Xenopus tropicalis: one gene and its partners. The protein of the gene in region 3 interacts with the protein of the main gene of each other region in a pairwise test. Links are inferred from orthologs where the notes say so. Each region holds a gene or a part of one and is shown on either strand. Other genes may lie near its edges. The genes, in order: gad2, cacfd1, tmem159 and coq8a.

What was found.
Region 1: the proteins of tmem159 (region 3) and gad2 interact in binary tests that used the Homo sapiens proteins (3 or more experiments, as listed by UniProt). The two-hybrid records come from large-scale screens. The link is inferred for Xenopus tropicalis from reciprocal best matches to the Homo sapiens genes LDAF1 and GAD2.
Region 2: the proteins of tmem159 (region 3) and cacfd1 interact in binary tests that used the Homo sapiens proteins (3 or more experiments, as listed by UniProt). The two-hybrid records come from large-scale screens. The link is inferred for Xenopus tropicalis from reciprocal best matches to the Homo sapiens genes LDAF1 and CACFD1.
Region 4: the proteins of tmem159 (region 3) and coq8a interact in binary tests that used the Homo sapiens proteins (3 or more experiments, as listed by UniProt). The two-hybrid records come from large-scale screens. The link is inferred for Xenopus tropicalis from reciprocal best matches to the Homo sapiens genes LDAF1 and COQ8A.

Annotation. Positions count from the first base shown.
Region 1 is NC_030682.2:25,292,540-25,298,383, forward strand, and holds the start of gad2 (glutamate decarboxylase 2), read right to left. Parts: upstream 3,386-5,844; 5' UTR 2,482-3,385; coding exon 2,406-2,481; intron 1,804-2,405; coding exon 1,744-1,803; intron 1,558-1,743; coding exon 1,399-1,557; intron 145-1,398; coding exon 1-144. UniProt on the Homo sapiens protein: Catalyzes the production of GABA.
Region 2 is NC_030684.2:5,078,912-5,084,654, forward strand, and holds the start of cacfd1 (calcium channel flower homolog), read left to right. Parts: upstream 1-1,829; 5' UTR 1,830-1,935; intron 1,936-5,212; 5' UTR 5,213-5,343; coding exon 5,344-5,467; intron 5,468-5,743. Other genes in the region: adamts13 (A disintegrin and metalloproteinase with thrombospondin motifs 13), read left to right, coding at 1,067-1,255. UniProt on the Homo sapiens protein: Transmembrane protein which mediates synaptic endocytosis and fitness-based cell culling.
Region 3 is NC_030685.2:24,679,304-24,685,264, reverse strand, and holds the start of tmem159 (promethin), read right to left. Parts: upstream 3,916-5,961; 5' UTR 3,840-3,915; exon of another isoform or gene 3,804-3,839; intron 1-3,803. UniProt on the Homo sapiens protein: Plays an important role in the formation of lipid droplets (LD) which are storage organelles at the center of lipid and energy homeostasis. In association with BSCL2/seipin, defines the sites of LD formation in the endoplasmic reticulum.
Region 4 is NC_030681.2:7,741,278-7,747,199, forward strand, and holds the start of coq8a (atypical kinase COQ8A, mitochondrial), read right to left. Parts: upstream 3,596-5,922; 5' UTR 3,452-3,595; exon of another isoform or gene 3,448-3,451; intron 1-3,447. UniProt on the Homo sapiens protein: Atypical kinase involved in the biosynthesis of coenzyme Q, also named ubiquinone, an essential lipid-soluble electron transporter for aerobic cellular respiration.

The DNA of each region.
Region 1 (5,844 bases), on a different chromosome or scaffold from region 3:
CCTGTAGCAGTTCGTTGGGATAATGGAAATCAATCACTTTTGTGGACCTGTCGAAAGTTTGCACGACATATTGCAGTAAAACGTCTATCACGTCCTGCAGGAAAGTCATCGTTACCCCTTCCCCGTTTTTAGAAGGGAGCAGGTCTGGAAAACAAAATTCGGAGGCGAAATATTAAAACAAATATATATATTTTTCCTACAAAATAATTAGAAAACAAACGAAGCTGCGCGTTTTTCACAGATCGCGGTGCGATTTTCACACAGATCAAAACTACAGTCGCTCTTGTGTTTACACTTCCGAATCGCCAGGTTATTATTCGCTCCCTTGGACTTGTTAGTCGCCCTTTGGGGTTTGACATATTTTCCTGAGCTTGGGATAAACGAATGCAACACTTCAAGTCCGATAAGATGCGTCGCATCAAATCTATCAGCTGTGTAGTCGCTTCCCCTAATCTCCCCTGTTAGATTTTATCTGCTGGGCGAAAGGAATCTCAGCGGGATTAACAAATATTCAGAACCGAACGGGACAAAGTAGATGAACCGAGTGTGTCTTTTAAAACTATGTTAACAATTCTGTTAATGTAGTAACATAGCAATAATTATTATTCGACATTTTTTTTATCTGTGTGTGTGTGTATATATATATATATATATATATATAAATTCATAAATATCTATCTATCTATCTATCGATCTATCTATCTATCTATCTATCTATATATATATATATATATATATATATATATATATATAAATATATATAATGGCTTTCCATTAGCGTCCTAGGTGTAAGGATGGTCAGATAGACAGGTAGATAGATGATAGATAGATAGATAGATAGATGATGGACAGATAGATAGATGATAAATAGATTATAGACTGAGGATAGATGATAGATAGATACAGTATATAGAAGATAGATAGATAGATAGATAGATAAATAGAAATAGATAGTGTTAGATGCGATAAATATAGATAGATTTGTAGATTAATTACAGAGACCTTAATGATTAGAGGCATCTAAAATATATATAGATGATAGAGATAGATCGATAAATAAATAAATAGAATAATTATAAAGAGAGAAACGGATATATATATATATATAGTATGGAGAGATAAAAGGATATAAACAGGCAGGCAGACAGACAAAAAGGTACATAGATAGATGGATTTGATAGATTAATTAGAGAGATGAACGAATAGACATATAGATTATCGAGAGATAAACTGATATATGAAGATAATTTATAGATAGATTAATTATAAAGAGAGAAATGGATAGAGATATATGGATCATAGAGAGATACTAGGATTTAAACAGATAATAGACAGATAGATAAACGATAAGCAGACAGACAGACAGACAGACAGTTAGTACTGGGGATGGGCACGTACCTGTAGAGTATAATAAGGAGAAATTGGCTTCTCCCTTGCGGCAGCCACAAGCCTTTGTGTCACAGTTACATGCCATTCCCCTCTCCCCTGAGCCCAGCTCATCCTTCTCATTCTTGCCCACAGAGCCCGGAGCTCTCTCTCCCTCTCCATAGAGTAAAGCTGCCAGGGAACAGAAAGGGGTCACATTGGCACCAAAACACAAAATATCATTGGAAAGAACAGCAACAGAATGTTTCCCATATTTTCCAATACGAATCCATATTCATACACAACACGAATACTGACACAAACACTGTGTATATACGATTTATATGTATCGATTTCGTTCTGAGTTCATTTACTCACAACACAATTTCGAGCTGATTCCTCCTGTAAACTTCTGGGCGACCTGGCACCAAGCCTTGGCTGAAACAGACACAAAGAGCGAAATGATACCGACAGTAACGCAGGGAGAGTAACTGTACTGATCCGGAATATTAAACAGCAAATAGCGGGTGTTACAGACAAGACTATGCGCCATGCTACATTTAGCGCTCATTTACCAAATCCTCCTTATTTGGGGCATTAAACGATTACAGAGAAGGGTCTGTTGTTAGTGAAAATGTCTATAAAAATATAGAGCGTTAAATATTCCTTCCCAAGCCACAATAATAGGGGTAATTAAGTCTATACATTAAGAGGACTGCTGTGTAGATAATGGGAAGTTAATAAGAGAATTCCCCATTCTATAGACTGAGATAAATTGTGGTTGTTTCCCATTTCTTCAGTGGGCCGATGAGCTTACACTCCAGCATAGGGTGACCTGATCAGGGACACATCTAATGAATACATGTTGCAGGGCAGTGCGTTTGAATGAAACTGCAATCTGTTCAGCCCTACTAGCTGGATCTTTTAGATCTGTCCCTGAATGTGCAAGTGATCCGGTCTCCCTACTCCAACAACCATTGCCCATTCAGGGGTCACCGACCCCGGTTCATCCCTAGACGGACATGTCAGTATCCCATTACCTGTACCGGGGTTTTCAGCTTCTTTATTCCCTTCTTCTGCCCCGAAGGGCCAAAATCCGGAGCCAGGAGAAGCCATCCGAGTGCCCGATCTCACAGCCCCGAAGTGAGAAGCCAACTGACAGCGAGGTGGTGGCTGCAAAATGGCTTGGACCGGAGCATAGAAATCAGCAGCAGATGGAGCCCCCAGAGCAGCAGAGGAGAAAAGCAAGAGCCGGGGGGATCGGGCAGGTATAGGGCAGCAGATGGAGAGAAACAAGAGCCGGAGGGCCGGGCAGGTATAGGGCAGCAGAGGAGAGAAGCAAGAGCCGGGGGGCCGGGCAGTTATAGGGCAGCAGAGGAGAGAAGCAAGAGCCGGAGGGCCGGGCAGGTATAGAGCAGCAGAGGAGAGAAGCAAGAGCCGGAGGGCCGGGCAGGTATAGGGCAGCAGAGGAGAGAAACAAGAGCCGGAGGGCCGGGCAGGTATAGAGCAGCAGAGGAGAGAAGCAAGAGCCGGAGGGCCGGGCAGGTATAGGGCAGCAGAGGAGAGAAGCAAGAGCCGGAGGGCCGGGCAGCTATAGGGCAGCAGAGGAGAGAAGCAAGAGCCGGAGGGCCGGGCAGGTATAGGGCAGCAGAGGAGAGAAGCAAGAGCCGGAGGGCCGGGCAGGTATAGGGCAGCAGATGGAGCCCTTAGAGCAGCAGAGGAGAGAAACAAGAGCCGGAGGGCCGGGCAGGTGGCAGTAGGGCTGAGGGGCTGGAACTCTCCGCGGTGCTGAAAGCTGAAACTGCTCCTTCTCTCAAGCAGATCCCAATGTACTCCCACTGGCAGCCGCTATCTGCCCTCCCTGATCGCTCCCACCTACCTATTGGGCTGGCAGATTGCAGCGGATCTCAGAGGGGCACACACACACACTCAATGGGAGACCGAAACAGATCACAGATGACTCATAGGGGAAGACGCTTTTGCATCACACGCCTTGAATAATCGCTTGTAGCAGCGACTGCATTAACCGCCGGGGCAGCAGTGAATCAGCCTTACCTGGTTATAAGCGCTTTACTAGCAGCGTTAATGGGCGTCTGTATATTTCCTATTGCTCAGTAGTTACATGAGCCTCACTTTTTCCTTTCGGATGAAGCCATAACAAGTCTTTTTAATTTGTGACCGCAGTGGATTTAAACCGGTGCCTTGGGACTTGGGCTACTTAGGGCTATTTAGTACATAGTGATGGCTGCTTAGTGAGCAGGAGGCTCCCCAGGGGCCCCCCAACCTCTCACATTACAATAGTCCTGGCTCTGTGCTCACGGTGCGGAACATTAGCTCATCCAGCCACATAAATGGAAAAGCAGCCACTGTCCTTCTGTTTCCCTGTATTTGGGAACATTCGCCAAAGGGGTTTCTGTGGCATTGCTTGTGCCAAGCCTTTTATATTCATATACATTACTCTAACCTAGTGTATAATTATATATATATATATAAATACTGTCAGGAACAGGGTATGGTGCTATGTACTATAACTAATTCCTCTCCTGCTTGAGCTGTATGTATATGGGCTCACATTATCTCTTATCCTCTCTTTCTTTTCATCTCACACACAATTATGTCTTTTTTCCCCCAATTTCTCTCTAATTTTTAAGAAAGCCATGCAATTCTATTGGGTTTAAGCATTAATGGGGCAGTTGCTGCTTCTGGCTTTGGTGCCTTTCTTGGTGTCAAAAATAATAATAATTTGTGTTGTCTTTCTCCCTTACCAAAGTGGATGTAGGATATGTATATGTATTTGTATGGATTTAAACCTATAGATGCTACAATTCTGTTGAGATTGTATTTACAAAAATAAGATCAGAATACAAATGTAATGTATATTACATATATATATATTTTTTTTTTTTTAATTTTTTAATTATTTTTTTTGTAACAGAAAATATTATATTATATATTAAGGAACATATTATGGATACTAGAACATATAAAGGATAAGAGTTCCCCCAACATCATGTATGTGGAAGCTGAAAATGCCAGGAGCAGACTTTATTAGAAACGTCACGTAGGGATCATTTGTGCAGTTTCAAGCTGGGCGAGCAGCAGAGCGTGGGATTCAAGGCTAAAACAGATTTATACACTCAGTTCGAGATGGGGCCCCGCGGGCACTTCTGCCATTCCTCTGCCCCACTGGCTCTACACATGATGGAACAGGGATGGAGGGAGATAGACGGAAGCGCAGGCAGGGCTTGGGGTTTAGAAAGGGAGTGGGTGTCAAGGACTAACCTCTTTCAGTGCTACAAGAAACACATATTAGTTAATTTGATTTAATAGATTTTTTGTTATGATATATTAAAAGAGCACTACATTTTTCTACATTTAAAAAAAGCATTACACATACATTAAATCTAAAGATAAATAGCAAACTACATTGGCAGGCAGACTGGTAGAGATAGACAGACAGGCAGACAGATAGATATCTCCCTATATTGCTTATCTCACTATACTCTATATACTATACTATCTGTCTGTCTGTCTATCTATCTATCTATCTATCTATCTATCTATCTATCTATCTATTATCTATCTATCTATCTATCTATCATCTATCTATCTATCATCTATCTGTCTAACATCTGCCAGTATCCCTTTGTCATTCCATAATCTGTATGTCTCTATCCATTTATCTCTCTATGATAATTCTGTCTGTCTGTCAATCTATCTGTCTCTTTGTCTCTATAAAGATAAAGAGCGAGCTACATGGGCAGACAAGACATTAGAGATAGACAGACAGGTATATAGGTAGATAGAGGGACAGACAGACAGATAGATAGATAGACAGACAGACAGACAGACAGATAGACAGACAGACAGACAGACAGACAGACAGACAGACAGACAGATAGACAGACAGACAGACAGACAGACAGATAGATAGATAGATAGATAGAGAGATTGATAGATAGATAGATAGATAGATAGATAGATGATAGATAGACATACAGACAGATAGATGATAGATAGATGATAGATAGATGATAGATAGATAGATAGATAGATAGATGATAGATAGATAGATAGATAGATAGATAGATGATAGATAGATAGATAGATAGATGATAGATAGATAGATAGATAGATAGATGATAGATAGATAGATAGATACATAGATAGATACATAGATAGATAGATAGATGATAGATAGATAGATAGATAGATAGACAGATAGATAGATAGATAGATAGATACATAGATAGATAGATAGATAGATGATAGATAGATATAAATACATTAACATGAACTAATTCTCATGTGCTTGGTGTTTTACAGTAGCTTTTTATTTTTGCCCCCCCCCCCCACCCAAAATGTGTTTTTTTTGTCCCATTGGGCCTGTAACAAAGCAGCCCCAAGGAGGTAATTATAGGAATTAATTCATAATGGATTCTCTGCAGATGGTAAGGACCTCTGAGTGATGCTGTCGCA
Region 2 (5,743 bases), on a different chromosome or scaffold from region 3:
CTCCCCCAATCCGACCCTGTGCCCCCCAGTCCGACCCTGCACCTCCCCCAATCCGACCCTGTGCCCCCCAGTCCGACCCTGCACCTCCCCCAATCTGACCCTGCGCCCCCCAGTCCGACCCTGCACCTCCCCCAATCCGACCCTGTGCCCCCCAGTCCGACCCTGCACCTCCCCCAATCTGACCCTGCGCCCCCCAGTCCGACCCTGCACCTCCCCCAGTCCGACCCTGCACCTCCCCCAATCTGACCCTGTGCCCCCCAGTCCGACCCTGCGCCCCCAATCCGACCCTGCGCCCCCCAGTCCGACCCTGCACCTCCCCCAATCTGACCCTGCGCCCCCCAGTCCGACCCTGCACCTCCCCCAGTCCAACCCCGGGCCCTGCACCCCCCAGTCCGACCCTGCACCTCCCCCAATCTGACCCTGTGCCCCCCAGTCCGACCCTGCGCCCCCCAATCCGACCCTGCGCCCCCAGTCTGACCCTGCACCTCCCCCAATCCGACCCTGTGCCCCCCAGTCCGACCCTGCACCTCCCCCAATCTGACCCTGCGCCCCCCAGTCCGACCCTGCACCTCCCCCAATCCGACCCTGTGCCCCCCAGTCCGACCCTGCACCTCCCCCAATCTGACCCTGCGCCCCCCAGTCCGACCCTGCACCTCCCCCAGTCCAACCCCGGGCCCTGCACCCCCCAGTCCGACCCTGCACCTCCCCCAATCTGACCCTGTGCCCCCCAGTCCGACCCTGCGCCCCCCAATCCGACCCTGCGCCCCCCAGTCCGACCCTGCGCCCCCCCAGTCCGACCCTGCGCCCCCCCAGTCGGACCCTGCGCCCCCCCAGTCCGACCCTGCGCCCCCCCAGTCGGACCCTGCGCCCCCCAGTCCGACCCTGCGCCCCCCCAGTTCGACCCTGAGCCCCCCAATCCGACCCTGCGCCCCCCAGTCCGACCCTGCGCCCCCCCAGTCCGACCCTGCGCCCCCCCAGTCCGACCCTGCGCCCCCCCAGTCCGACCCTGCGTCCAACTAAAAATCAGGCAGAAATCGGTTCCTTATTATTTGCTTTTCCCCCTCAGATTCGGGACATGAAATCGCTCAAATCCACGGGATTCCATGGGAACCACTTGTTCTACTGGGAGTCGGCGGGGAGTCGGGCGGAAATAGAATTTCATGGCGATTTCTCTAAGGACCGAGTCAGTTTCCGGGCGCAGTACTGGGCGCGGGCACCGAGGCTACAGGGCAGGGGGCGCCCCCCGGTGGAATGACGCCCGATACACCATCGCCACGGGAACCTATATAGTCACTGTAATCGCTCATTATCTGTTTGTTTCTAAAGGGAAAGCTTAAATATATTATTTATATATGCGCCTCCGTGTCCCCGTTATTACTGACCCGCTATATCCCACAGCGCCGGGGGTGTACGTGGGGAATACAGGGTAAACGGATTATATATCTATGGGTTCTGTCATTTCTGGCACTAAACAAGGATATGAAGCCACATTAGCACTTCCTGATCCAGAAGAACTAATAAATGTAATCACCAGTCCACTGAAAAGCCCCTGATAATAAGCTGCTCAGAGGGCGCTGCTTATAGACAGTTCAGAGGCAGATAAGGGGTTAACCAATTGCCCTGTATATATATATATATATAGTAACTGTTACACTGTAGGGGAGAGAAGCTACAGGGGAAGGACAGAAGGAATAAATAAGCCGAAAATCCCTTAATGGGAGAGTTTTTACCTCAGGGAAAGGCCCGCCCACCTGGGGCAGAGGGACACGCCCACACAACGGGACGCTATGGCGGGGGGCGGGCTCACTGCGATGACCTCATTGCCAGGGTCCCGCCTCTCTGCCAAGAGGTTTCCCTCCCACAATGCAGTGCGGGCCGGAGTGACGTGGAGTCCCTGGGTCAGACCGGCGGAGAAGGAGCCCGGATAGCGGGGCGGTGAGTGCGGCGGGGAGGGTGCGAGGGGCTCCCGGTACCGGACTCCGGTTCTACTGCAACTTCTCTGGGCTTGGGGGGCGGGGCGTAACGGTACCGAGTGTCACAGCAGAACAAAGGGCTGGGGGGGGGAGGGGTTACAGAACAATAGGGGGGGGCACACAGGGCAGGGGTATATAGCACAATGGGGGGGTCACACAGGGCAGGGGTATATAGCACAATGGGGGGGGGGGCACACAGGGAAGGGGTATATAGCACAATGGGGGGGTCACACAGGGCAGGGGTATATAGCACAATGGGGGGGTCACACAGGGCAGGGGTATATAGCACAATGGGGGGGCACACAGGGCAGGGGTATATAGCACAATGGGGGGGCACACAGGGAAGGGGTATATAGCACAATGGGGGGGCACACAGGGCAGGGGTATATAGCACAATGGGGGGGCACACAGGGAAGGGGTATATAGCACAATTGGGGGGCACACAGGGCAGGGGTATATAGCACAATGGGGGGGCACACAGGGCAGGGGTATATAGCACAATGGGGGGGCACACAGGGCAGGGGTATATAGCACAATGGGGGGGCACACAGGGCAGGGGTATATAGCACAATAGGGGGGCACACAGGGAAGGGGTATATAGCACAATGGGGGGGTCACACAGGGCAGGGGTATATAGCACAATGGGGGGGCACACAGGGCAGGGGTATATAGCACAATAGGGGGGCACACAGGGAAGGGGTATATAGCACAATGGGGGGGGCACACAGGGCAGGGGTATATAGCACAATGGGGGGGTCACACAGGGCAGGGGTATATAGCACAATGGGGGGGGCACACAGGGCAGGGGTATATAGCACAATAGGGGGGCACACAGGGAAGGGGTATATAGCACAATGGGGGGGTCACACAGGGCAGGGGTATATAGCACAATAGGGGGGCACACAGGGAAGGGGTATATAGCACAATGGGGGGGTCACACAGGGCAGGGGTATATAGCACAATGGGGGGGCACACAGGGCAGGGGTATATAGCACAATGGGGGGGCACACAGGGAAAGGGGTATATAGCACAATGGGGGGGGCACACAGGGCAGGGGTATATAGCACAATGGGGGGGGCACACAGGGCAGGGGTATATAGCACAATGGGGGGGGCACACAGGGCAGGGGTATATAGCACAATGGGGGGGGCACACAGGGCAGGGGTATATAGCACAATGGGGGGGCACACAGGGCAGGGGTATATAGCACAATGGGGGGGTCACACAGGGCAGGGGTATATAGCACAATGGGGGGGGGTCACACAGGGCAGGGGTATATAGCACAATAGGGGGGCACACAGGGAAGGGGTATATAGCACAATGGGGGGGCACACAGGGCAGGGGTATATAGCACAATGGGGGGGCACACAGGGCAGGGGTATATAGCACAATGGGGGGGGCACACAGGGCAGGGGTATATAGCACAATGGGGGGGTCACACAGGGCAGGGGTATATAGCACAATGGGGGGGCACACAGGGAAGGGGTATATAGCACAATGGGGGGGCACACAGGGCAGGGGTATATAGCACAATGGGGGGGCACACAGGGCAGGGGTATATAGCACAATGGGGGGGGGTCACAGGGCAGGGGTATATAGCACAATGGGGGGGCACACAGGGCAGGGGTATATAGCACAATGGGGGGGGTCACAGGGCAGGGGTATATAGCACAATGGGGGGGGTCACACAGGGCAGGGGTATATAGCACAATGGGGGGGGGTCACAGGGCAGGGGTATATAGCACAATGGGGGGGCACACAGGGCAGGGGTATATAGCACAATGGGGGGGGTCACAGGGCAGGGGTATATAGCACAATGGGGGGGGGTCACAGGGCAGGGGTATATAGCACAATGGGGGGGCACACAGGGCAGGGGTATATAGCACAATGGGGGGGGTCACACAGGGAAGGGGTATATAGCACAATGGGGGGGGTCACACAGGGAAGGGGTATATAGCACAATGGGGGGGTCACACAGGGCAGGGGTATATAGCACAATGGGGGGGGCACACAGGGCAGGGGTATATAGCACAATGGGGGGGGGTCACACAGGGCAGGGGTATATAGCACAATGGGGGGGGCACACAGGGCAGGGGTATATAGCACAATGGGGGGGCACACAGGGAAAGGGGTATATAGCACAATGGGGGGGGCACACAGGGCAGGGGTATATAGCACAATGGGGGGGCACACAGGGAAAGGGGTATATAGCACAATGGGGGGGGCACACAGGGAAGGGGTATATAGCACAATGGGGGGGGTCACACAGGGAAGGGGTATATAGCACAATGGGGGGGTCACACAGGGAAGGGGTATATAGCACAATGGGGGGGGCACACAGGGCAGGGGTATATAGCACAATGGGGGGGGTCACACAGGGCAGGGGTATATAGCACAATGGGGGGGCACACAGGGCAGGGGTATATAGCACAATGGGGGGGCACACAGGGAAAGGGGTATATAGCACAATGGGGGGGGGCACACAGGGCAGGGGTATATAGCACAATGGGGGGGTCACACAGGGCAGGGGTATATAGCACAATGGGGGGGGCACACAGGGCAGGGGTATATAGCACAATGGGGGGTTACACAGGGAAGGGGTATATAGCACAATGGGGGGGCACACAGGGCAGGGGTATATAGCACAATGGGGGGGCACACAGGGCAGGGGTATATAGCACAATGGGGGGTTACACAGGGAAGGGGTATATAGCACAATGGGGGGGCACACAGGGCAGGGGTATATAGCACAATGGGGGGGCACACAGGGAAGGGGTATATAGCACAATGGGGGGTCACACAGGGCAGGGGTATATAGCACAATGGGGGGGGGGCACACAGGGAAGGGGTATATAGCACAATGGAGGGTCACACAGGGCAGAAGATATATAGCACATTGTTGGGGGGGGTTACACAGGAGTAGAATATGTATAGATGGGGGGGGCACAGTGATTAGTGAGGATAGGAGTGAATGGTATAGTAGGGGGGCTCATAGAACAGGCAGTAATAGTCCAGGTGTGAAAAGGGGGGGGTGCAGTAACACGGGGCAATAAGGGAGTGGGGGGGGGGGTGTATCGCTCAGGCATGGGGTGGATATTACACTATGGGGCCGGGGCGTGGGGTACCAAATGAGCTGAACTTGGCTCAATAGAGGGAAGGTGGGGGGACCCCCGGAGAGGGGTTGGGGGGCAGCTGAACCCACGTGTGTAACTGTATCGCTTGTGTTTCTGTGCCACTAGGAGGCGCCTCGCTGTGAGCAGAATGCTGAGCCCAGTTTAGCTCTCACTGAGATCAGAACCACTGTCCCTAGAGACCCCCAACAGCCTCTCCCCCCGGGACCCCAAGGCATTGGCTGGAAATCTAGAGAGAGATGAGTTCGGTGGAGCCCGAGAGCGCGCCCCAAGAGACCGCCGCCGCCGCCGCGTCTAAGGATGATGGCATGACCTGGTGGTACCGATGGCTCTGCAGGCTGGCCGGCATCTTGGGGGGCTTCTGTAAGTACCAGTCTCCTATAGCCCCCCCCCCCGGGTCCGACCTACCCTCATCTCGCTGAATGCCCCAGGCTTGGGGTACTTACAGCTCTTCAGCTGGCTCTTCAAGGAACTCTGAGTATCACTCATGTATTATAAGGGATACTGTACCCCCTACTGTAAATGATAAGGATATTAGCAGTCACTGAGGGGTTCTGTGCCCCCCATATAAAGGCACAAGGCTGCAGGCTGAGTTATACAGGGAACTCTGAGTATCACTCATGTATTATAAGGGATAAT
Region 3 (5,961 bases):
TAAATAAGGGACTTATTCCCTTCTAAGGCAATAACACACATAAATAGATATAAAATAAAATTATTATTCTTTATTGTCCATTTCTGCCAGCATAATTAGAAAACCCTAACCCAAAAAAACCACCGAACATTAGCTACTGTAATGTATTCACATTGCGCGAGCTCCAACCCCCAACATAACCGCAAATCTAAGGTGGGATGTTTAAGTCCACAAATAGATAAATGCACTGATGATTAAATATATTGGGATATCACATTATGTCCATATTGATGTGTAGTGATGCACAACATTTTTTCAAGCATGGATTTGCGGCGAATTCTTTTGCAAAATGGGCACAAAAATTCACAGCAGACAAAATTGTTGTGCGTGTCAGAAAAATTCTGTGCGCAACATTTCTTTTTACACGTGCCATTTTTGCTGTTTTGAAAATTTGCAGTGCGAATTTTATGGCGAAGTAAATCCGAACAGATTTGCTCATCACTATTTATGTGCATTAACCCTTTGGTGGTGGTGTGTTGTGAATAGGATGCAATACATCAAACTTCCAAATCCAGGATCCTATTGATAAAGCCATTGTAATGGCAAAACAATCGTCGAGGTGGTAACAAATGCCATCAAGAGGTGGGCCCCCTCTCTTTTTCCCTGGTATGGTTGGATGGACACGCAGATTATATACTTGTTCCAGAGGATCCTTGGACAAATCTTATGCTGAGATAAATTAGCGCACTACCGCAGTCACTGGAGTTTGGCCTGGCGGAGTTCTCAAACCGATGTAAACAATATTTGTATTCGCTGATGCGGGCGTATTATGCACTTTAATTTATCTGAGCACCTTGCATAGGAACTGGATATTTATATAGTGAATATCTACCATTTGAACAGATGTGAACTGAATACATTTGTCACAAATAGGATCCTGGATTCGGAAGTCAGATGTACTGCATGTAATTCACAACACACCGCCACCAAAGGGTTAATGAACATTAATTAATGAACAGAATGTGATATCCCAATATATTTAATCATCATTCATTTATGTATTTGTGGACTTAAACATCCCAACTTAGACTTGTTGTCATGTTGGGGGTTGTAGTTCGCGTTATGTGAATACATAATATGTTTATTGGGTTACATCACTTTTTGGGCCCCTCCAGTATTGGCTAATGTTTGTTGGTTTTATGGGTTAGGGTTTTTTAATCATGCTGCAGGATTGGACAATAGTTAGTTATACTTACAGAAAACAGTTTCCCTTATTTGGGGAGGCATGGGGTCTAATTTTTTCTAGTTGGTAAAACTTTTAACTAAATGTATAAAGTAATTTGGATATAAATGTTATTGGTGAGCACAAAATATTGCAAAATATTGGGGGCAGCCAGACTGGGCACTTGCATATCAACCTAATCTAAAGTTAGGGCAGTGTGGATGTGAAGCTATGCTGTACCCTGATAGCCTTTTGTTCCCGGTCTGTTTTGCCCTACTAACTATTCACATCTTATACTTGCTGGTGGGTTGGGCCCTGGGCAATCATGTAGGTATCTAGAGAGACAGATGATAGATTGATCACAATGCAATTTGAATTTGAAAATAAATATATGATATAATGTTATATATACAGTAGGCCTGATCATAGGCAGCAGAAGATGGTTTTGGGGCGGGGGGGCCTAAAGGGGAGTATATGTGGTGTGCTATGCGCGTATGGTGAAAAAATTAAGCCATGCCCACTTTCCAAAGCCACACCCACTGTCCGAAGTCACACCCTCAATAACACATGTCTTTACAAGCCTTAAGGTAAAATGTAGAAAAAACGAATGTTGCTCCAGTTCTAATAACCCACAACAAACTGATATTAAGATTACTTTAAGTACAGCTGGCTGGTTGCTTGCTTTGTATTGCTGAAGCAAACTGAAACAAACTCTGCACTAGTTATATTTCCAACCCTGAGGGCTGAAACTTCTGAGAATCATTTTTAATGCTGTATGGTGGGAATTGTCACTAACAGCATGGTGGAAGGGATGAAAAAGATGTCACATTTCCACAGGTGTTAAGATCTAGGATGTAATGGAAGCATTACTGCCAGGCAGACAGCTGGTGTAAACAGTCAATGTAATGTCCAGCATGTTATAGTGTAAGATAAATGGGCAATGCAATCACCATCATATAATACAATGAAATCAGTAGATCCTGCACCCCAAAACAATATAAAATAAAAAGGTAACTCCAAATACATTATACAGTGAACAGTTCTGGTACAACAATACAATGAAATCAGTAGATCCTGCACCCCAAAACAATATAAAATAAAAAGGTAACTCCAAATACATTATACAGTGAACAGTTCTGGTACAACAATACAATGAAATCAGTAGATCCTGCACCCCAAAACAATATAAAATAAAAAAGTAACTCCAAATACATTATACAGTGAACAGTTCTGGTACAACAAGTGGATTATACAGTAAAAAGCAATTGGTACTGTCAATCCAAGGTACATTACATAAACTGAAACAAATGGCTACTAGCAGCAAAAGTATATTATATACAATGATAGGTCCTGGGTAATGATACCCAAGTACATTATATACAGTAAGAGGCATCGCAAGTACATTATATATATATATGAAGGGAAAGTGTTTACGGACATGCAAGAACATAGACAAAATGGGTACTGTCCCACCAAACATATTACACACAGTAAAAGCAGTGGGTACTGACACCTTAACTACATTATATAAAATGATGGGCAGGGTGTTCTGGCACCGCAAGAGATTATATACAGTGAAAGGCAATGAGCCCATATGTTTGATTTAAAAAAAAAACCAACATTGACTGCAGTGATAAGGCTGATTCAAACTGGTCACCATGCAACTTTGCCTCCTGCCAGTTAGATTATAAAGTAACATAAAGTGATACGGTGTACCAGCAAGGGTGTTGCTGGCACCCAACTGTCCCAAAGCACAGGCCCACAACTTTGTTTCTCCTTTGTGTAGTTATATTATATCACAGTTAACTTATGGCAAATCATCAGGACAGCTGACCCCTCCCCAACAGTGAATGTGGATATCTATGTACACTAATCAGCATAGCATTATAATGGGGTGGGTCACCTTTACATTAACTTTTTACTACATTATAGAATGTCCTATTCCTAGAAAAATTGCAATTGGTCTTCATTTTTTATAGTTTTTAAACATTTGCCTTTGTCTTTGTAGATTGAAAGCTCTTTTGGGCAGGGCCCTCTTCACCTCTTGTATCGGTTATTGATTGCTTTATATGTTACTCTGTATGTCCAATGTATGAAACCCACTTATTGTACAGCGCTGCGGGATATGTTGGCGCTTTATAAATAAATGTTAATGTAATGTAATGTCTTCTGCCTCTTGCTAACAGAGGTCGCTGACCCCAGCAGTTAAAAAAACTAGGTTCTAGGTGGCACTAATGTGACAAATCTATTGGCAGCAAAATACCAAAATGACTTTCCTTCTCCTTTAAAGGAACACTGTCATGGGAAAGCCTTTGGCCAGTCCCATAGATAATGTTATGCTTTGGGTTCATTAGGGGTCCCTGGCAGAGGTGGGGGTGGAACAGAGAAATGTTTTAACCCTACATAATAATAACAACAGAATGTGCTCATTTATTTCATTCCTGTATCTGTGCAGAGTTATTATGCCCCCTTGCTCCTGGCAAACGACTGCAGGTTTACTAGTAAAAACCAGAACTAATCAGCAATGAAGTTGCACACAAAAGCTGCCTTTCCTGCTCCACTGTCACTAAAACACACACACAGCTCAATTGGTGCCACATACTTGTAACTTGAAACGCTTTCCTTCGGGTGAACTTGCCTTTTCTCTGTCTCTGCTACACCCAGTCCCCTCCCTTTCCCCTGTGCTCTCTCCAGGACTGCCCATCTAAAAGAGCAAAAACTAATTGGATCAAAAAATGATTGACATTCACTGTGACTAATCAGAGGCAAGGAAGCTTCTGCATTTGGCTTTTCTCTTGCAGCAGTAGCAGCACTTAAATAAACGTATAGGATTTGCTTGTAACAGCGGAGTTAGGTTAGCGGAAATGGGTGCGGGTTGGCATTCAATCTTTTTCCCAGTTTAGTCCTATTCCCTGCCAGAAGTTTTAACGCCCCCCCCCCCCATCTCCGTTCCAAAGCCTATGCGGCCTGATGGCGTTGTTCTGTACCACTTGGGGATCTTCTGACAGAGCAGTCCGGTGTGCTTGTATTGTATCCTATCAAGGAAAACACACATATAATGTGAATACAAAGAACTAGGGTTACCTAGCCTCAGGTTTATGGGGGCGGGGTTAGCCAGTAGTTCAGTCTGGCTGATTTTCAGTGCTGATCTGCAGCACCTAATGGAAGCTCAGTTATCAAATTGTGAATTCGAACTTTTACCCACTAATAAATGTGCTTCTAAAAATCCCATAGGACTGAATAGAAAGAATTTATCTGTGGTGACCTCTAATTTCACACATACATAAATCTACCTCTAAGAGTAGTGAAATAAAAAAATAGCTGCAGGGATTTAAAGGAGACATATCCTATAAAAATTATGAATGTACCAATGAATTATACTCCTCTAGATATAGAAGGATTGTGCTTAAAAAGTTGTGTTTCTGACTGATTTATTGTGAAATTCCACAAAAACCCCACTAGCCCCGCCCATCTGTTCCACTTCCTGCTGCCTGAATTCTCTGGATGAGCTGGGGAGCCTCTGTAGGATAGGAACCAATCAGCAGCTAGGCTGACCTGATAGGGAACTGAAGCCTGTCTGTGCTTGTGTGAGCGCAGGGCTGTGATTTGCTATCCCCCTCCTACTCTGCTTCTGGCAGGGACCGTTAGGACACGCCCACTCTTCATTTCACACTGGACGTAGAAGTGATACGATCTATAGGAAGCTCCAATAAAGGGGCCATTTTTACAGAGAGGATTAATTTTTAGCACAAAGTGAAACCAGCAGCGTATATTATTCACAATTGCTTACAAAATAAGCGTTTTTCCCATTTATCCAATATGTCTCCTTTAATATGGAAACCTGAAGCACTGACCAAGGAATTATTATTATTATTAACATTTATTTATAAAGCGCCAACATATTCAGAGGGTTAGTACTCTTGGTGTGATTCACCATTAGGGAATCAAGTTTAGTGTAGCAGAGAAACCCTAGGCAGTCTACTGGGTAAGTAGAGTGAGTACTACTTCAGCTGTGACAAAATAGGACTGTGTGTGTGGCAAAATAAAGTAATTTTATTCTGCACCCTTAAGTTCTGGTCAACAAACTGATTTCAGCTTTTAAGGAGTTATACTTTTTGAGTTATTTTTTGTTGCTTTGGAAGTTTTTTTTATGGCAAAATGTGTTAGATATTTCCTTCTTACAATACATGTTAAGAAAGGGACAGATCACATTATATTTTAACACTTTAATGTTATTTTTTCCCAGGTGGCAATATTAGTTAGTAGAAACTAAAGTTTGTAGTATTACAGCCACATTAGCAGCCACATTACAGGAGTAGATCACGAGCAGGGTACATAATGTACTCCCTATAGTGTATTTTTGCTGTTAGCCTGGAAGATTGATGGTGTCTTCTTCCTCCTAATTAAAGCACACTAATCTAGCTGTTTTTTTTTCTGGCAGAAAACGCCCAAGCGATCAATTGTTACTGAATATCATTTGACCTTTAGGAAAAGTCTAAGGCAGCTCAATTAATAGACCTGATGAGATAGGGATTAAGAGGTTAGAAGAAGATAATGGCTGAAATCATAGAATACAGTCTAAAGTTGGAGGGTTGAAAGATGAATGGGAAAAACTTTTTTACAGACGCAGTGACAGATACATGGAAGAGCCTTCTAGCCAGCGGAAGATATAACTTTAATTTTAGGCAGCTTTTGTTGTTCTTGTGCAGCCTCCAGCTGGTAGGTTGATCCACGACCCTTGCCACAGAACAATTTAGAGC
Region 4 (5,922 bases), on a different chromosome or scaffold from region 3:
GCAGGACTGCTGCTTACAATGGGAGGGATCAGATAGGATCTGTGCCACTGTGACAGAATGCTCTGTTATACAGATAGCTAGAATCTCAGCCATAAAGCAGGGCAGGACTGCTGCTTACAATGGGAGGGATCAGATAGGATCTGTGCCACTGTGACAGAATGCTCTGTTATACAGATAGCTAGAATCTCAGCCATAAAGCAGGGAGGACTGCTGCTTAAACTCCCCTAGATAAATATGAAATTGACAGACCGTATAAGAAACTAGTACATGGTTTCCAACCATAAATGCAAACTTCAGCTTTTAATGACAGTGCCATAAATTACTGACCGTGACCACAGTAAATAACGATAGCAGGTACTGTTTAATTAACGGGTGAATAAATCTTGTCACCAGCCAAGGCTTCCCCCCCCCCCCCCCCCCACTAGGCCTTTACATAGAGATAATGACATATATGCCCCAGATATCCAGCAGTGCTACCTAGAAAACCAGGTAACTACGAACGCCTCACCCTGGCACCTTGCTCAACAGCTTCTCCTTATAAACACCAACCGCACCCCTTCCCAGCAGGCACAGCGGCACTTTACCTGCAAGCAGCCTTCTGCCAATACGCACTAGTGACGCTTTGTTTTTAATCCGACTAGCCAGCAACCTGCTGCACAGGAGTCACATACATTAACAGGGATCTCTAGTTATTTGAAAAGAAAGTAAAGGACAAGTCAACACAGAACATAAGAAAAGAAAGCAAAATTCTAAGCAACTTTGCAATAGACATTCATCACAAATTCGTAATGGTTTTTGAGTTATTTGTATATATAATTGATATTAGAAGTAATGTTTGTCCTTTTCCCTCTTGAAACAGTGTAACACAAGGCAGCAGCCTGACAGACCTGACTCGCTGGGGGAGACTGACCCCTGAAACAGTGTAACACAAGGAGCAGCCTGACAGACCTGACTCGCTGGGGGAGACTGACCCCTGAAACAGTGTAACACAAGGCAGCAGCCTGACAGACCTGACTCACTGGGGGAGACCGACCCCTGAAACAGAGTAACACAAGGCAGCAGCCTGACAGACCTGACTCACTGGGGGAGACTGACCCCTGAAACAGAGTAACACAAGGCAGCAGCCTGACAGACCTGACTCACTGGGGGAGACCGACCCCTGAAACAGTGTAACACAAGGCAGCAGCCTGACAGACCTGACTCGCTGGAGGAGACCGACCCCTGAAACAATGTAACACAAGGCAGCAGCCTGACAGACCTGACTCGCTGGGGGAGACCGACCCCTGAAACAGTGTAACACAAGGCAGCAGCCTGACAGACCTGACTCGCTGGGGGAGACCGACCCCTGAAACAATGTAACACAAGGCAGCACCCTGACAGACCTGACTCGCTGGGGGAGACTGACCCCTGAAACAATGTAACACAAGGCAGCAGCCTGACAGACCTGACTCGCTGGGGGAGACTGACCCCTGAAACAGTGTAACACAAGGCAGCAGCCTGACAGACCTGACTCCCTGGGGGGAGACCGACCTTTGCAACAATGTATAAAAAGTAACAACCAGGAGTTCAGCAAATGCTGCTCTCGATAGCAATTACATTTACAGGTAACTATTAAAACACTGAAAAATAATAACTCCATATTAGAATAATGTTTCCTTTTATTAGGCAAAAACTTATTTGTGGGGTTAACATGTCCTTTAAATTGCAAGCAACTTTCAATATAAATTAACAATATTAGGTTTGAAACGTATTTGAAAATGCAGGGTAAACTAGCAGAGAGACTGAGAAAAGCAAGTTTAGAAAGGCTGAGGAACCAACCCCACGGCTTAATGTTTAAGCAAAACAAAAGGAATGCGCGGGGTTAAATATTGATTAATATTTGATTAAAGACTCTCACATGGGAGAAACATTTCAGCTGCTTTACTCAGCACCAATAGAGTATTTGTTTGCATGCACGGCTGTTTGTGACTACTGAGAATATATAGCAATAATGAAAGGGAAATATCCGACTCTGAAGGAGATTTGCACACGAGGAGCATTAGGTCCCGCTGGCCGCTGTGCTGCACACTCACACCCACTTACTCACAGCCAAGGGAACACAAGCGCCTTTCCATATGTTCAGCCTGGGCTGCACGCTGGGCACAGACATAACGACCAAGCGCAACAAATGCAGCCGCACACACTGTGACCCCTGACACTATCAGAGGGTGCAGCTGGCAATGCGCTTGGGTTATAGGGTCCCTCGCACTAATACCATATGGAACACGGGGGGGGGACAATAGATCGTTAGGCACAAGGCTTCATTGGCCTTTCTGTATTGCAATGGCCGACTGAGAGCCCCCAATAAACTGCCAGTTCATGTGCCCTTGATCAATAGCCACTCACTGGGCCCTGTTTCCCCAGTAGCAGCCCTGGACCCCCCCCCCCCCCTTAGCTTACCTACATTAGCTACTTACCCCCTAATTACTCAGAACTGATGCCTAAATCCGGGGGCTGGTCACTGCCATGGACCCAAGAGCTTACTGACCCGCTCTACTATCCCACACATACATATACACACACACACATATACACACACACACGCAGTTATTTGCCCCTGGGAGAAACGCGGCCCATCTCACATACAGCTTGCAATTAACCCCTGCTTTCCCTCACACATGCCCTAACTTGCCCCTTGCCTACTCACCCCATGCCTATTTCCCCGATTACTTGCCCCCCTCACATATGCCCCAGTTACTTGCCCCCCTCACATATGCCCCAGTTACTTGCCCCCCTCACATATGCCCCAGTTACTTGCCCCCCCCACATATGCCCCAGTTACTTGCCCCCCTCACATATGCCCCAGTTACTTGCCCCCCTCACATATGCCCCAGTTACTTGCCCCTACCTCCCCACAAACACCAATTCCTTGCCCCCTGCCTACTCACATCAACCCCAAATACTTACCAATCCTTCATCTCACAAATGCCCCTAATTACTTGCCCCCCCACACACATTCCTCCTGTTATTCCCCCCCACATATGCCCCAGTTACTTGCCCCCGCCAATTATTTGCCCCTACCTCCCCAATTCCTTGCCCCCTGCCTACTAACAGAGGAGCCTTGCTTCTCACACTTGCCCCCTGCTACCCCACACTTGCCCCCTGCTACCCCACACTTGCCCCCTGCTACCCCACATACACCCTATACCCCTAATGATGCGCCCCAAGTTCTCACACACCCCTTACAGTCCCATTCACATGTCCCTGTTTCCTCACATAGTCCCCAGTGACCTGCCCCTATATTGGGACGAGTTCCCCTTTAAGCTGGCGGCTTGATCTCCCCGTTAGCAGCCCAGAATATACGGGGTGCCAGACGGGACATTACAATGAGACAGCGGACAAACTTGCCCACACACAGCTGAGGCGCCTCAGGCCCGCCCCGCACAGCGCTACGGAGAGCCCCAGTACCTGCCTGGGCGCCGCTAGCCGTGCTGGAAGCCCCGGGGAGTCGGTGCCGCGGTTCCTCTCGCTGCTTCTCAGTCTCACACGCGGTCCGGACTGTTTACCAGCAGCGCGCACCCATCCTACCAGCGCACGCTGTCCCGCCCACACTCACGCCTTCCTCCGCCTCATTGGCTAATCAACTGAAAGCTGGCGTGTGATTTGTCCTTGCAGCTGTCAGTCAGTCGCGTTAGTCAAATGCAGAAGGGGAACAGAATGTGGGTGAGGCCAATCAGCCTTCAATAACACGAGGTACAGCCAATAGGAAGGCGCGTTGGGCGGGTCTCCCAGGTGCTGCGTTAGAAACATCAACATGTTGTGCAGTTTGGCCTGTCCGCTGGCCCCGCCCCGACTCTTTGCTGAGGTATAGCGTGTTATGTGCAGCTCCCTTGGTATTGCAAGGGGCCCACCTTAGCTTTGTTACTGGCGATAGAGTATATTATATACAGTGTCCATGGTATAGCAGGGGGCTCACGCCCACCTTAGCTTTGTTACAGGGATAGAGTATATTATATACAGTGTCCATGGTATAGCAAGGGGCCCACGCCCACTTTAGCTTTGTTACAGGGATATAGTATATTATATACAGTGTCCATGGTTTAGTATGGGGCCCACCTAAACTTTATTACTGGGGATAGAGTATATTATATACAGTGTCCATGGTATAGCAAGGGGCCCACGCCCACTTTAGCTTTGTTACAGGGATATAGTATATTATATACAGTGTCCATGGTTTAGTATGGGGCCCACCTAAACTTTATTACTGGGGATAGAGTATATTATATACAGTGTCCATGGTATAGTATGGGGCCCACGCCCACTTTAGCTTTGTTACAGGGATATAGTATATTATATACAGTGTCCATGGTTTAGTATGGGGCCCACGCCCACTTTAGCTTTGTTACAGGGATAAAGTATATTATATACAGTGTCCATGGTTTAGTATGGGGCCCACGCCCACTTTAGCTTTGTTACAGGGATAAAGTATATTATATACAGTGTCCATGGTATAGTATGGGGCCCACGCCCACTGTAGCTTTGTTACAGGGATATAGTATATTATATACAGTGTCCATGGTATAGTATGGGGCCCACGCCCACTGTAGCTTTGTTACAGGGATATAGTATATTATATACAGTGTCCATGGTATAGTATGGGGCCCACGCCCACTGTAGCTTTGTTACAGGGATATAGTATATTATATACAGTGTCCATGGTTTAGTATGGGGCCCACGCCCACTGTAGCTTTGTTACAGGGATATAGTATATTATATACAGTGTCCATGGTTTAGTATGGGGCCCACGCCCACTGTAGCTTTGTTACAGGGATATAGTATATTATATACAGTGTCCATGGTATAGTATGGGGCCCACGCCCACTTTAGCTTTGTTACAGGGATATAGTATATTATATACAGTGTCCATGGTATAGTATGGGGCCCACTCCCACTTTAGCTTTGTTACAGGGATATTGTATATTATATACAGTGTCCATGGTATAGTATGGGGCCCACTCCCACTTTAGCTTTGTTACAGGGATATAGTATATTATATACAGTGTCCATGGTATAGTATGGGGCCCACGCCCACTTTAGCTTTGTTACAGGGATATAGTATATTATATACAGTGTCCATGGTATAGTATGGGCCCACTCCCACTTTAGCTTTGTTACAGGGATATTGTATATTATATACAGTGTCCATGGTATAGTATGGGGCCCACGCCCACTTTAGCTTTGTTACGGGGATATAGTATATTATATACAGTGTCCATGGTATAGTATGGGGCCCACGCCCACTTTAGCTTTGTTACAGGGATATAGTATATTATATACAGTTTCCATGGTATAGTATGGGCCCACGCCCACTTTAGCTTTGTTACAGGGATATAGTATATTATATACAGTGTCCATGGTATAGTATGGGGCCCACGCCCACTTTAGCTTTGTTACAGGGATATAGTATATTATATACAGTGTCCATGGTATAGCAAGGGGCCCACGCCCACTTTAGCTTTGTTACAGGGATATAGTATATTATATACAGTGTCCATGGTATAGCACAGGCCCACGCCCACTTTAGCTTTGTTACAGGGATAAAGTATATTATATACAGTGTCCATGGTATAGTATGGGGCCCACGCCCACTTTAGCTTTGTTACAGGGATATAGTATATTATATACAGTGCCCATGGTATAGTATGGGCCCACGCCCACTTTAGCTTTGTTACAGGGATATAGTATATTATATACAGTGTCCATGGTATAGTATGGGGCCCACGCCCACTTTAGCTTTGTTACAGGGATATAGTATATTATATACAGTGCCCATGGTATAGCAGAGGATGAAAGTGCCCTGGCTGTGTTCTGTGGTACAGGGATGTAGTATGTTGCACACAGGCCCCATAGTATAGGAGATAAATACAGGGCACCAGATCTGTG